3 linked regions of the Tribolium castaneum genome follow. The protein of the gene in region 1 interacts with the protein of each later gene in a pairwise test. Links are inferred from orthologs where the notes say so. Each region holds a gene or a part of one and is shown on either strand. Other genes may lie near its edges. The genes, in order: Atg4a, gamma-aminobutyric acid receptor-associated protein and microtubule-associated proteins 1A/1B light chain 3C.

Region 1 (3,758 bases):
GCGGGCGGTTTTGTCACGTTTAACGGCGTCTGGAGGGTGGCCGGCATCTTAGCCACGTCCAGAGCGCTCGGGGATTACCCGCTCAAAGACAAGAAATTAGTCATCGCCGATCCGGATATTCTCACGTTCGATTTAAACGACCACAAGCCGATGTTTGTGATTTTGGCTTCCGATGGATTGTGGGACACTTTCTCGAACGAAGAAGCGATCAGTTTTATTAAAGAACGACTGAACGAACCCGATTATGGTGCGAAAAGCTTAACTTTACAGTCGTATTATCGCGGTTCTTTGGATAATATCACCGTTATCGTGATTAATTTCAGAGATAACGCCTTTAGCTTCCACAGTGCGGAGAAGAGCGCTTAGGAAGCGGGGTTTTGCTCAAGTTAGCTGAGATTTGTACCTGCGGTTTAGTCTAGGCCATTTCGTGTTGATTAAATTTTTTACCGATTCTGGCGGCCGGTGAGGCCCGCGAGTCGATTCATGTTGATTACGTGTTGTTTTAAGTTTCAAAGAACTATTACTCTAAAAATGGCTGTAAGGTTTGTTGATCTTTTTTCTCGATGTATACAATAAAAAACGATTTAAAACGATGGCTCTCTTTATTTTCCTTCAATTGCCAACGGTACATTTTTATTTACAAATAAATCCCGCACTATATTAACTGATTGTGGATTATACACGGGGAACAAAACTACGGAACCATTTATTTACAGCATTATAGAGTATACTGCTAAGGTCTGGTCGTTCCGTCAGAACTTTTTTTTAAAGTCTATTTATGATAAAGGTTATAATATAAAAATCAATTATCTAAATAAAATGTTTATGAACTACTACTAATAATAAATGTTTTGGTGGCATCGAGATTGATTTCACTTTTTATTTGTCAAGGCATAACATAATGCAGGATTATTTGTCGTGTGCGACGACTGTTCGCCCGCTTCGTTACAAAACACAGACCCACAATTATGGTGAAAAATACAAAGCTTTACACGAAACATATCGGCGTCATTTATGTACAAAATAAGTCGATATTTTTGGCACCGGCAGCGTTAAAACATTTCGAGTGGCGCCCCTCGGTAAATGCACTATGTACAGAAACAAGTATGAGTAAGAAAAATATTTACAATTTGCGGGCCTCTATCCACAATTTGCGACAATAAAAACTGAGTTAAATGAGAAAATTGTTACAAAATTTCAAATTCGTGCTCGGAATCGTACTCTCCGGATAGCTCGAAATCGGCAGCCTCCACGGCGTCGTCCAGCGTCGGCGTCCACTGTTTGGGTTTCTCATAAGTGATTTCGAATAGCGGCTGTTTTTCGGGCTCGATGAGGTCTTTCTTGATCGAGTGACACAAATCGTTGAACTCGCCTTCAGTGTTGCAGAAAAAGCACTGAAATTGTTCCCGAGTTAGAACTGTTTGTTTTGAATTGATGTATTTGTTTACCACAGCCACTGAGGGATCCATGCTGAGTATGTTTATTCTAGAAGCGTATTTACAGTGGTAGGTGGAATCCAGCTCGATTTCTTCTTCCGTTTCTTTGCTTTCCACGGAACCGGATTTCTGCGTCGTGTGCGGGTCTAGATATATTACTTCGTCTCCTACATGTCCTATGAAATACAGCGCCAGGTTCGGTTTGCCACCGATCACACCCAGGCTTTGTTTGAACTGAAAACATTTCTAAAAAAACAAGGTGTAACAGATTTCTTCCCACACTCGTTGTTACCTTTAATCCACTAGCATAAATAGGATTAATTTCTTGCAGTCCCAATCTTAAAGGCACAATAAGTAGCAACGGCTTCCAGTCCCCACTGCTACAACCGTCACTCCCCTGACTTAAGCACAACTCTCCTGAAAACCACCATCAAAACCACTCCAACCCCAACTCTCACTTACTTATATCGCTAATAATAAGTGTATTATCTAACGCTATGTGCATCTCAATTGCACTCCACTCGTCATACTTTACCAACTTCCTGCAAATAAAACATTTAACACCGTTTAATCACTAATTGGACTTTGTTATTACTTCAAGACTTGGGCCACAGTGTTGGGTCCAAACCACTGCCCCACTTCCTTGTTTTCCGACACCCCCATCATGGCAATCTGGTGTATGGAAAACGGCGCTTGTCTCTTGTCTACAAATTTGCTAAGTATTTTGAGATAAGTGGAGTCTTTGGTTTCGGGCTCCCAGACCCAGTCTCGGCCCAGATGCAGCGTGACCAAGGCTTGCGCCAGAACCATCTGGCCGCATCGTAGCATGCAGCCCCAGCCCTTGTCAGTGGTGAGACCTTCGTCGCCCCCAATTGGAACGAAATTTTTCCGATACGTGAACCAGATTTTCGAGAGAATGTCTTGGCGGATCGTGTCCAATTCTAGACAGGGTGTTAGGTCGCGACTACGCACAGAAAAGGCGTTACCTTGGAGTGCGTTGTACTTCTTGCCTAGGATGTAGACGGGGTCTGCAGTATGGGGGATGTCATCGGGCTCAATGCTCCCGTCTAGGTATAGTTCGAACATGCCGTCCATTGTCACGAAAGGGGATATTCATGGATTTAACGTTAAATTGGCAAATCGTAAGCGAGTTTTGAGGAATCACTGTTTTCCACGGTTTGTTTTCATTTTTAATGTCAGATCGCCATCTTGGTGTCAAACAACAGCTGATGTGTCAAGTGAACGAAAAATTTGGCTTTTTCTATTTTTAATCACGTTTATCACACGCAGAAACCACTCATTTCTGTTTATTATCACCAGTCTATATTGTACTTTTTTAATTAATTTTGTAATGTAAACTTGATAGGTAACATAACTGGTTGCCTAACATGTTAGATGTTTTCATTTACAGAGTGTTTCATGTCATTTTCCAAAAATATTTTGAACTCATTACTCAATTAAAACACACGTATACAGCTAAATTTTTATTGTTTAAAAAACATACAACAACAAAGCTTGTTTGGAAATAATACGCATGCTAATCAAGAAAAACCTAACATAAAGAGAATTAAAAGTTTAAGCTAAATTTTGTACTGCCGATCTCGAATAGCACTAGCATTAGGTCACATCCAAACATATCACTATTAAGACGCATTATTCTACTTGCTATTTGATTCTTTCTGATATTTTTCGTATTCTTCATCGCTCAAGAACCAAAGATCAGTCGGCATTTTAGTAAAAACGTTGTTCATGATGTCGGTGAAAATACCAGCCAAGCTATCACCAATGCTATCTTTCAGCTCTCCGATGATTTCTAGCGCATTTTGGTTGATAAACTGGTTAACAGTCTGGCCTGAAACAAAAAATAAAATAAATAAATAAATAATAAAAAATATACCGGAGTAGAAACCACTCACCTAAAACTTTATTTCCGTTGAAGAGATTATAAAGTTTCACTTTCATCCCTCCAACTTTAAAGTCCACCTGCATTTTGTCAATTTTCACAACTTCGCGACCCTCCCGGAGCGGGAAATCCACGGTGGTGGTGACCTTAGTTTGCACATTTGACAATTTCAGGTCACAGGCCCCGTGTCCCACTAAGGGCAAAACCAGGATTTTTCCCTTGAGGTTGTATTGAGATTTGATAGAGAGTAGTGGTAAAGTTAGGCCGAAATTCCACGTTTTCTTGGCTTCGTCAAATCTGAATATATTTTTTACAAAAACGGTTTTTTATTTCCCTAATTCTTACTCGGTGTAAGTCGGCGTGGAATTCGAAGGGCCAGACACGACCAAATCGTAGAGCCCTCCAGTGAGCGTGATAGC
Region 2 (2,828 bases), on another chromosome or scaffold:
TTGGCGAATTTTCACAAAAGTGGTCAGATTCACGTTATTCGACACTGCAGTCTTCAGAAGTGTCCTAAGGCAAATAAAATCATCACTTTAAAGGCATTTTACGGATGTAAGACGGTGTATTGACACTTTTACGAATAACCTCACAAAATGTTTTTTCGGCACAATTTCACTGAAATAACACTAGATTTGGGTTTTAAATGAGCCGACGATTGTTTTAGAAAAGGTTTTGGGGCAAAAAAGTAACGAAAAATGGACGATGATTGTGGATTTTTGTAAAAATTCACTTCGAAGACACTCACCTTTGCAGATGTTGCGGTGAAAGGAGATGGCGCTGCTAGTGATTTTGTCACTACCAACATAAAATTGAAATGCGTTCTTAATTCCTAAAATGGGGAAAATATTGCACTTTCGTTATCGTATTTAACACTAAAATTAGTTCTTTAGTTATATGTGCACTAGTTAGTGGCCTAAGGATCGGCTTTTCACCATTAAAATAGAATAAATTTACACAGTTGGGGAAAACCCAACAAAACAAAGGACACCACCAAAAATTTGAATTGTTAACACAATGATAACAATTTCACGAAGTTTTTGCAAACAAATAATAACTAAAAAGTCTTGGTTTTTAAATATTTTTATTTAGATAACTACATCATCTCTTTTACATACCTAATCTAATACTTTCGTAATTCCATCAAAAATTAAATATCAGTTTATTAAATTTGTGATGAAACGTCTTCCTTTCATAGCAGCGCTTCCGTAACATTCAACTCAAAAGTGTTAGAATATTCAGCCCTATCAGAAGATAAAAATAAACAATACAACTATCACAATTAGAAAAAGTCGCCACTCAGACAAACAAAAGCCTTATAAGTAATATAAAATAAATGTTAAACTTTTACCGGTGCTTTATTGTAATCAGAGATTTATAAAAATTTCATTTGTTGCTAAATTAGAGCTCCTCGCTTCCGTAAACGTTTTCATCAGAGTAAGCAATGTACAAGAAAAAGTCCTCTTCGTGATGCTCCTAAAACCGTGAGTAAATCCCCTAGATCACACACCAGTGCTACCAACCTGGTAGAGCGAGCCCATGGTGGCCGAAGTGGGCGGAATGACGTTATTTACAAAGAAAAACAACGCATCCTCGGGCCTTAAATGGATCCGTTTCCTAATCAAAAAGTAAAACTGTCCCACGGTCAAATCCGACGGAACCAAATATTTCTTCTTGTCCAAATCACCAATTCGGGCCCTGGGGGCTTTTTCGACGATCACCTGATTACGAAAACAATTGACATCACGTGACCTTGATACGCCATTTTCGTAAAAACAAAACAAATGACGACGTGTGGTGAAATCGGGGAAAATGGGGCTAGGAACGGGGGCTTTGGCCCCAATTTGGGGCTCTGGACGGGGCGCTTCTTTGTTTGGGTGCAATGACGCAGATACTTACGGGGACCCTGTCGGGGTACTTTCGGCGGATTTTCTCGCCCTCGGACTTTCTCTTCTCAAACGGGTGCTCTTCTTTGTATTGGAATTTCATTTTGAGGGTTTTGACACAGGAATTTGGGCCGTTGACAAGGTTTCGATACGTTTGTTCACTTTGGTCACTTTTGCTTGTTATGACACAAAACAATCGATCGCAATAACTTCCTCTACTGCGCATCCAAAACAACAACCGATAACGAGGCGAAAATCAACTAATTTGGTTTTGCCGCAAAGGAATGACTAATCACTGATATCGTAGTATCATACAGTCAATAAATACAATTAAAATTACATTACTGCAAAGAGAATCGAGCGATTGATTGGTAATAAAGCCGGGTTTTGACTAACCGAGTTCGCGGGAAATTTAAAATGTGACAATGACGTAACCTAACTTATTTTCTTTGTGTCCATTGAATTAAGTTTATTTTATTTTTAGGGCAAAGCTCGTAAGAAACCCAACGTTAGGAAATAGTGGACGTTGGCAAAATCATGGTTTTGGCTCACACAGTGACTGGCGAAAAAACGACAATCAATTTGTTAAAAATAAAAACGTTACTGAAAAATAGAAAAAAAGTGTCTTGTAATGTTGGTTGTTCACCATTCGACCCAATAACTTTAAAACATACGATAGTTGGGCTTTTAATAATAAAAATCGCGCTAACATTTTAAAAAGACGTTAAAATACAGGGTCGTTTTGATAAAAAAATGGTATTTTTTTAGTTAACATTAATTAGAGAGCTCATCAAAAATGTTATCGATACGTGAAAAAAATAAAACTTTGGTGTACAACACCCTCAGCATAATAAAAATATTTTTAGATTGTGGATTTTAAGTCGATTTATCGGATAATAAAAACGCATAGTAATATCTTAATTATCAAAAAAGTTATAGACCGATTACACACCCCTGGGTCATCCTGTATTTATTGTTAGTAGCATCACATAGGACACATTAACATAAACAGTATTTATTTTTTTAAATAATTTTTTGGAAAATTAGAATAAGTGTTCTCAATTTGTTACTTCTATGGATGTTGTTTTTTTCTTGACGACACCTGGTGGCCGAGCGCGAATTAAACCTAACCTCGCAGTGGCTGACGTTTCTTGCAATTTGTAGTCCCAAAGGGTGAGAACTAACTTTAGAACGATTGTGAATCAGTGATTTATTTGCAGTCGTTATTATTTTGCTATTACATGGCAAATGAACGTTTGGATGTAAAATGTTGCATCCCCTCTTGCTCTTGTAGATACGCCACTCAGTTAAGCCACGTCGCATATTATGCAATAAGGCCGCAATGGATGAATACAATCCTAACGTATTTAAATTCAATCCAAAAAAACACA
Region 3 (3,758 bases), on another chromosome or scaffold:
TTTAAATTTTGTTGTTGATTGGAAAAATTAAAACCAATCATATTTCGTTCATTATCTCCAAAACTACTAATCGTAGAACTAAAATAATGACAGATTTGGAATCCTCACACAATTTTACGTCAAGAAAACTTACCTTTAACATGAATTTTTAATTATTGTGGCCTTGAGATTTTTTTTTAATGATAGGTAGGTAAGTAAAAATTTTGACCAAGTTATTTTATTTGGCTTATTTTGCGCAATTATCACTCGATTGTCACAAAATTTTGCCCAGAAACAGATAATGAACTGTTTAAAAGGGCTATGAATCGTTTTTTACCAATTTCGGTTTATTTTAATTTTTTTAATTTTTTTTTTTTTTGGAAAAATGATTATCAACCATAATTCGTTCATTATCTCCAAAATTACTAATCGTAGAACAAAAATAATGACAGATTTGGAATCCTCAGACAATTTTACGTCAAGAAAACTTACCTTTAACATGAATTTTTAATTATTGTGGTCTTGAGAATTTTTTTTAATGATAGGTAGGTAAGTAAAAATTTTGACCAAGTTCTTTTATTCGGCTTATTTTGCGGAATTGTCACTCAATTGCCACAAAATTTTGCCCAGAAACAGATAATGAACTGTTTAAAAGGTCTATCAATCGTTTTTTACCAATTTCGGTTTATTTTAATTTTTTTAATTTTTTTGTTGGAAAAATTATAATCAACCATATATTGTCTATTATCTGCAAAACTACGAGTCGTAGAACAAAAATAAAGACAGATTTGGAATCCTCGGAGAATTTTACGTCAAGTAGGCATATTTTTTACATTAATTATTAATTATTGTGGCCTTGAGATTTTTTTTTATTGATTTGTAAGTAAGTAAAAATTTTGACCAAGTTGTTTTAATCGGATTATTTACACAATTGTGGTTCGATTGTCACAAAATTTTGTTCAGAAACAGGTTACTAACTACTAAACGGTGCTACGTTTCGTTTTAGGCCAATTTCTGTTTATTTTTTTTTTTTTTTAAATTTTGTTGTTGATTGGAAAAATTAAAACCAATCATATTTCGTTCATTATCTCCAAAACTACTAATCGTAGAACTAAAATAATGACAGATTTGGAATCCTCACACAATTTTACGTCAAGAAAACTTACCTTTAACATGAATTTTTAATTATTGTGGCCTTGAGATTTTTTTTTAATGATAGGTAGGTAAGTAAAAATTTTGACCAAGTTATTTTATTTGGCTTATTTTGCGCAATTATCACTCGATTGTCACAAAATTTTGCCCAGAAACAGATAATGAACTGTTTAAAAGGGCTATGAATCGTTTTTTACCAATTTCGGTTTATTTTAATTTTTTTAATTTTTTTTTTTTTGGAAAAATGATTATCAACCATAATTCGTTCATTATCTCCAAAATTACTAATCGTAGAACAAAAATAATGACAGATTTGGAATCCTCAGACAATTTTACGTCAAGAAAACTTACCTTTAACATGAATTTTTAATTATTGTGGTCTTGAGAATTTTTTTTAATGATAGGTAGGTAAGTAAAAATTTTGACCAAGTTCTTTTATTCGGCTTATTTTGCGGAATTGTCACTCAATTGCCACAAAATTTTGCCCAGAAACAGATAATGAACTGTTTAAAAGGTCTATCAATCGTTTTTTACCAATTTCGGTTTATTTTAATTTTTTTAATTTTTTTGTTGGAAAAATTATAATCAACCATATATTGTCTATTATCTGCAAAACTACGAGTCGTAGAACAAAAATAAAGACAGATTTGGAATCCTCGGAGAATTTTACGTCAAGTAGGCATATTTTTTACATTAATTATTAATTATTGTGGCCTTGAGATTTTTTTTTATTGATTTGTAAGTAAGTAAAAATTTTGACCAAGTTGTTTTAATCGGATTATTTACACAATTGTGGTTCGATTGTCACAAAATTTTGTTCAGAAACAGGTTACTAACTACTAAACGGTGCTACGTTTCGTTTTAGGGCAATTTCTGTTTATTTTAATTTTTTTTAAATTTTGTTGTTGATTGGAGAAATTAAAACCAAGCATATTTCGTCAATTATCTCCAAAACTACGAGTCGTAGAACAAAAATAAACACAGATTCGGAATCCTCAGTCAATTTTACGTCAAGTAAACGTAATTTTAACACGAATTTTTAATTATTTTGCCTTGAGAATTTTTTTTATTGTTAGGTAGATAAGTAAAAATTTTGACTAAGTTGTTTTATCTATATTATTTGCGCATTTATGGCTCGATTTTTACCAAATTTTGTTCAGTAACAGATAATTAAGTACTAAAGAGGGCTACGAGTCGTTTTAGGCCAGTTTCTGTTAATTTTTTCTAACTTATATTTTTTTTTGAAAAAACTTACATTTGTATTCTCTTTGTTTTTTCTCCACTTTTTAAATTATTAGTGTGACATTTGGAGCAATTAAAGTCGTAAAAAAAAGAAATTAATTGGAAATTCCAGTCTCTGAGTAGTTTTTCTGGAATTTAAAGTTAAAATAAATTTTTTTGGTTTTTGTAACTTACCGAATATTTTTGTTTTAGGTGCAATGGAGGCATAAAACATAATGATCTTTACTTTATATTATGCCTACGCCACCATAATGCAGTGGTGGCGTCTCCGAACTTTACGCAACAAACTCAACGGAACACTAAACGATCAAAATGCCTTGCTTGTCTGTTCTGGGCATTCGGTGCACGATAGCAGAAAACAGCGAAGTTTGGAGAATTTATTGTACAGTACTGAGAATAGGATCGCGTGCACAGTTGTGCCTAAGGTACTGTCGTTTAATTTGTTGAAAAAAAAAATCACAATAATTTCCAGCAAAAACTAAACTTAAGTCAATGGATCGCATTTCCGAAAAATCTAAGATACTTCCCGATTTTTATCGACGACAATAAAATCAGTGTTAGTCGGCCCCAAATTTTTCTCCTCCTTCAGGCCGTTTTAGACAATTATGTTAAACATCAGAGTGAGATTATTCAAGTAAGGTGGTTACGACTGCTTGACTTATATTATAGGCTTAAGTTGGGGCTTTCAGGTTGAGCATTTTGGCGAACTGATCGGTTGGAAAGCGAGCGATTCGTTCGAAGTTGTGGTTAAAACAGACATGGATCATTTGACTAAGCTGGTCAATCAGTTTAGCCAAAGCGATGTTGATATTAACCATGAATTAAAGTTACTTAAAATTGAAAGTATGGGGAATGAGTTTTGGGGGTTTATTGTTTGTCGTGTGTTTATTTTTAGCTGTTGATGTTGAAAATACACCCACTGTCATCAAATACGAGAAAAAATATCTCAAAGAACAAACTTTGAAATATTCATATGCTCCAGTTCATTGGGGGAAATTCGTGCAAGAAGTCAAGGACTTGTACTCGAAAATACGCGACATTACCACGTAGGTTTTTTATTAATTGTTGGGGAAAGTCACTTCAAACATGTGTAAATAAAAAATTTTTTTTGGTAAAAATTAAAACTAATCATATTTCGTCTAATATCTCCAAAACTACGAATCGTAGAACAAAAATCAAGACAGTTTTGGATCCCTCAGACAATTTTACGTCAAGTAGGCATACTTTTAACATCAATTTTTTATTATTGTGGCCTTGAGAATTTTTTTTATTGATTGGTAGGTAAGTAAAATTTTCAATCAAGTTGTTGTATTCGGATTATTTAGCGCAATTATGTCTCGAGTGTTACAAAATTTTGTCCAAAAACAGATAATGAACTGTTTAAA

The links.
Region 2: the proteins of Atg4a (region 1) and gamma-aminobutyric acid receptor-associated protein interact in binary tests that used the Caenorhabditis elegans proteins (3 or more experiments, as listed by UniProt). The link is inferred for Tribolium castaneum from reciprocal best matches to the Caenorhabditis elegans genes atg-4.1 and lgg-1.
Region 3: the proteins of Atg4a (region 1) and microtubule-associated proteins 1A/1B light chain 3C interact in binary tests that used the Caenorhabditis elegans proteins (3 or more experiments, as listed by UniProt). The link is inferred for Tribolium castaneum from reciprocal best matches to the Caenorhabditis elegans genes atg-4.1 and lgg-2.

What each region holds. Positions count from the first base shown.
Region 1 is NC_087398.1:5,532,570-5,536,327, reverse strand, and holds Atg4a (cysteine protease ATG4B), read right to left. Parts: upstream 2,681-3,758; 5' UTR 2,532-2,680; coding exon 2,423-2,531; intron 2,378-2,422; coding exon 2,032-2,377; intron 1,979-2,031; coding exon 1,899-1,978; intron 1,854-1,898; coding exon 1,729-1,853; intron 1,683-1,728; coding exon 1,449-1,682; intron 1,395-1,448; coding exon 1,188-1,394; 3' UTR 584-1,187; downstream 1-583. Other genes in the region: protein phosphatase 1L, read left to right, coding at 1-366; protein takeout, read right to left, coding at 3,095-3,288, 3,353-3,636, 3,685-3,758. UniProt on the Caenorhabditis elegans protein: Cysteine protease required for autophagy. Cleaves the C-terminal amino acid of ATG8 family proteins lgg-1, to reveal a C-terminal glycine.
Region 2 is NC_087401.1:11,663,431-11,666,258, forward strand, and holds gamma-aminobutyric acid receptor-associated protein, read right to left. Parts: upstream 1,702-2,828; 5' UTR 1,664-1,701; coding exon 1,451-1,663; intron 1,273-1,450; coding exon 1,075-1,272; intron 1,028-1,074; coding exon 953-1,027; 3' UTR 619-952; downstream 1-618. Other genes in the region: RpL6 (large ribosomal subunit protein eL6), read right to left, coding at 300-359; uncharacterized protein LOC100141600, read left to right, coding at 2,679-2,828. UniProt on the Caenorhabditis elegans protein: Ubiquitin-like modifier involved in the formation of autophagosomal vacuoles (autophagosomes). When lipidated mediates tethering between adjacent membranes and stimulates membrane fusion during autophagy. Recruits lipidated-lgg-2 to maturing autophagosomes.
Region 3 is NC_087401.1:16,967,702-16,971,459, reverse strand, and holds the start of microtubule-associated proteins 1A/1B light chain 3C, read right to left. Parts: upstream 2,589-3,758; 5' UTR 2,548-2,588; intron 1-2,547. Other genes in the region: Hcs (biotin--protein ligase), read left to right, coding at 2,589-2,798, 2,846-3,007, 3,063-3,216, 3,269-3,419. UniProt on the Caenorhabditis elegans protein: Ubiquitin-like modifier involved in the formation of autophagosomal vacuoles (autophagosomes). When lipidated mediates tethering between adjacent membranes and stimulates membrane fusion. Less effective at promoting membrane fusion than lgg-1.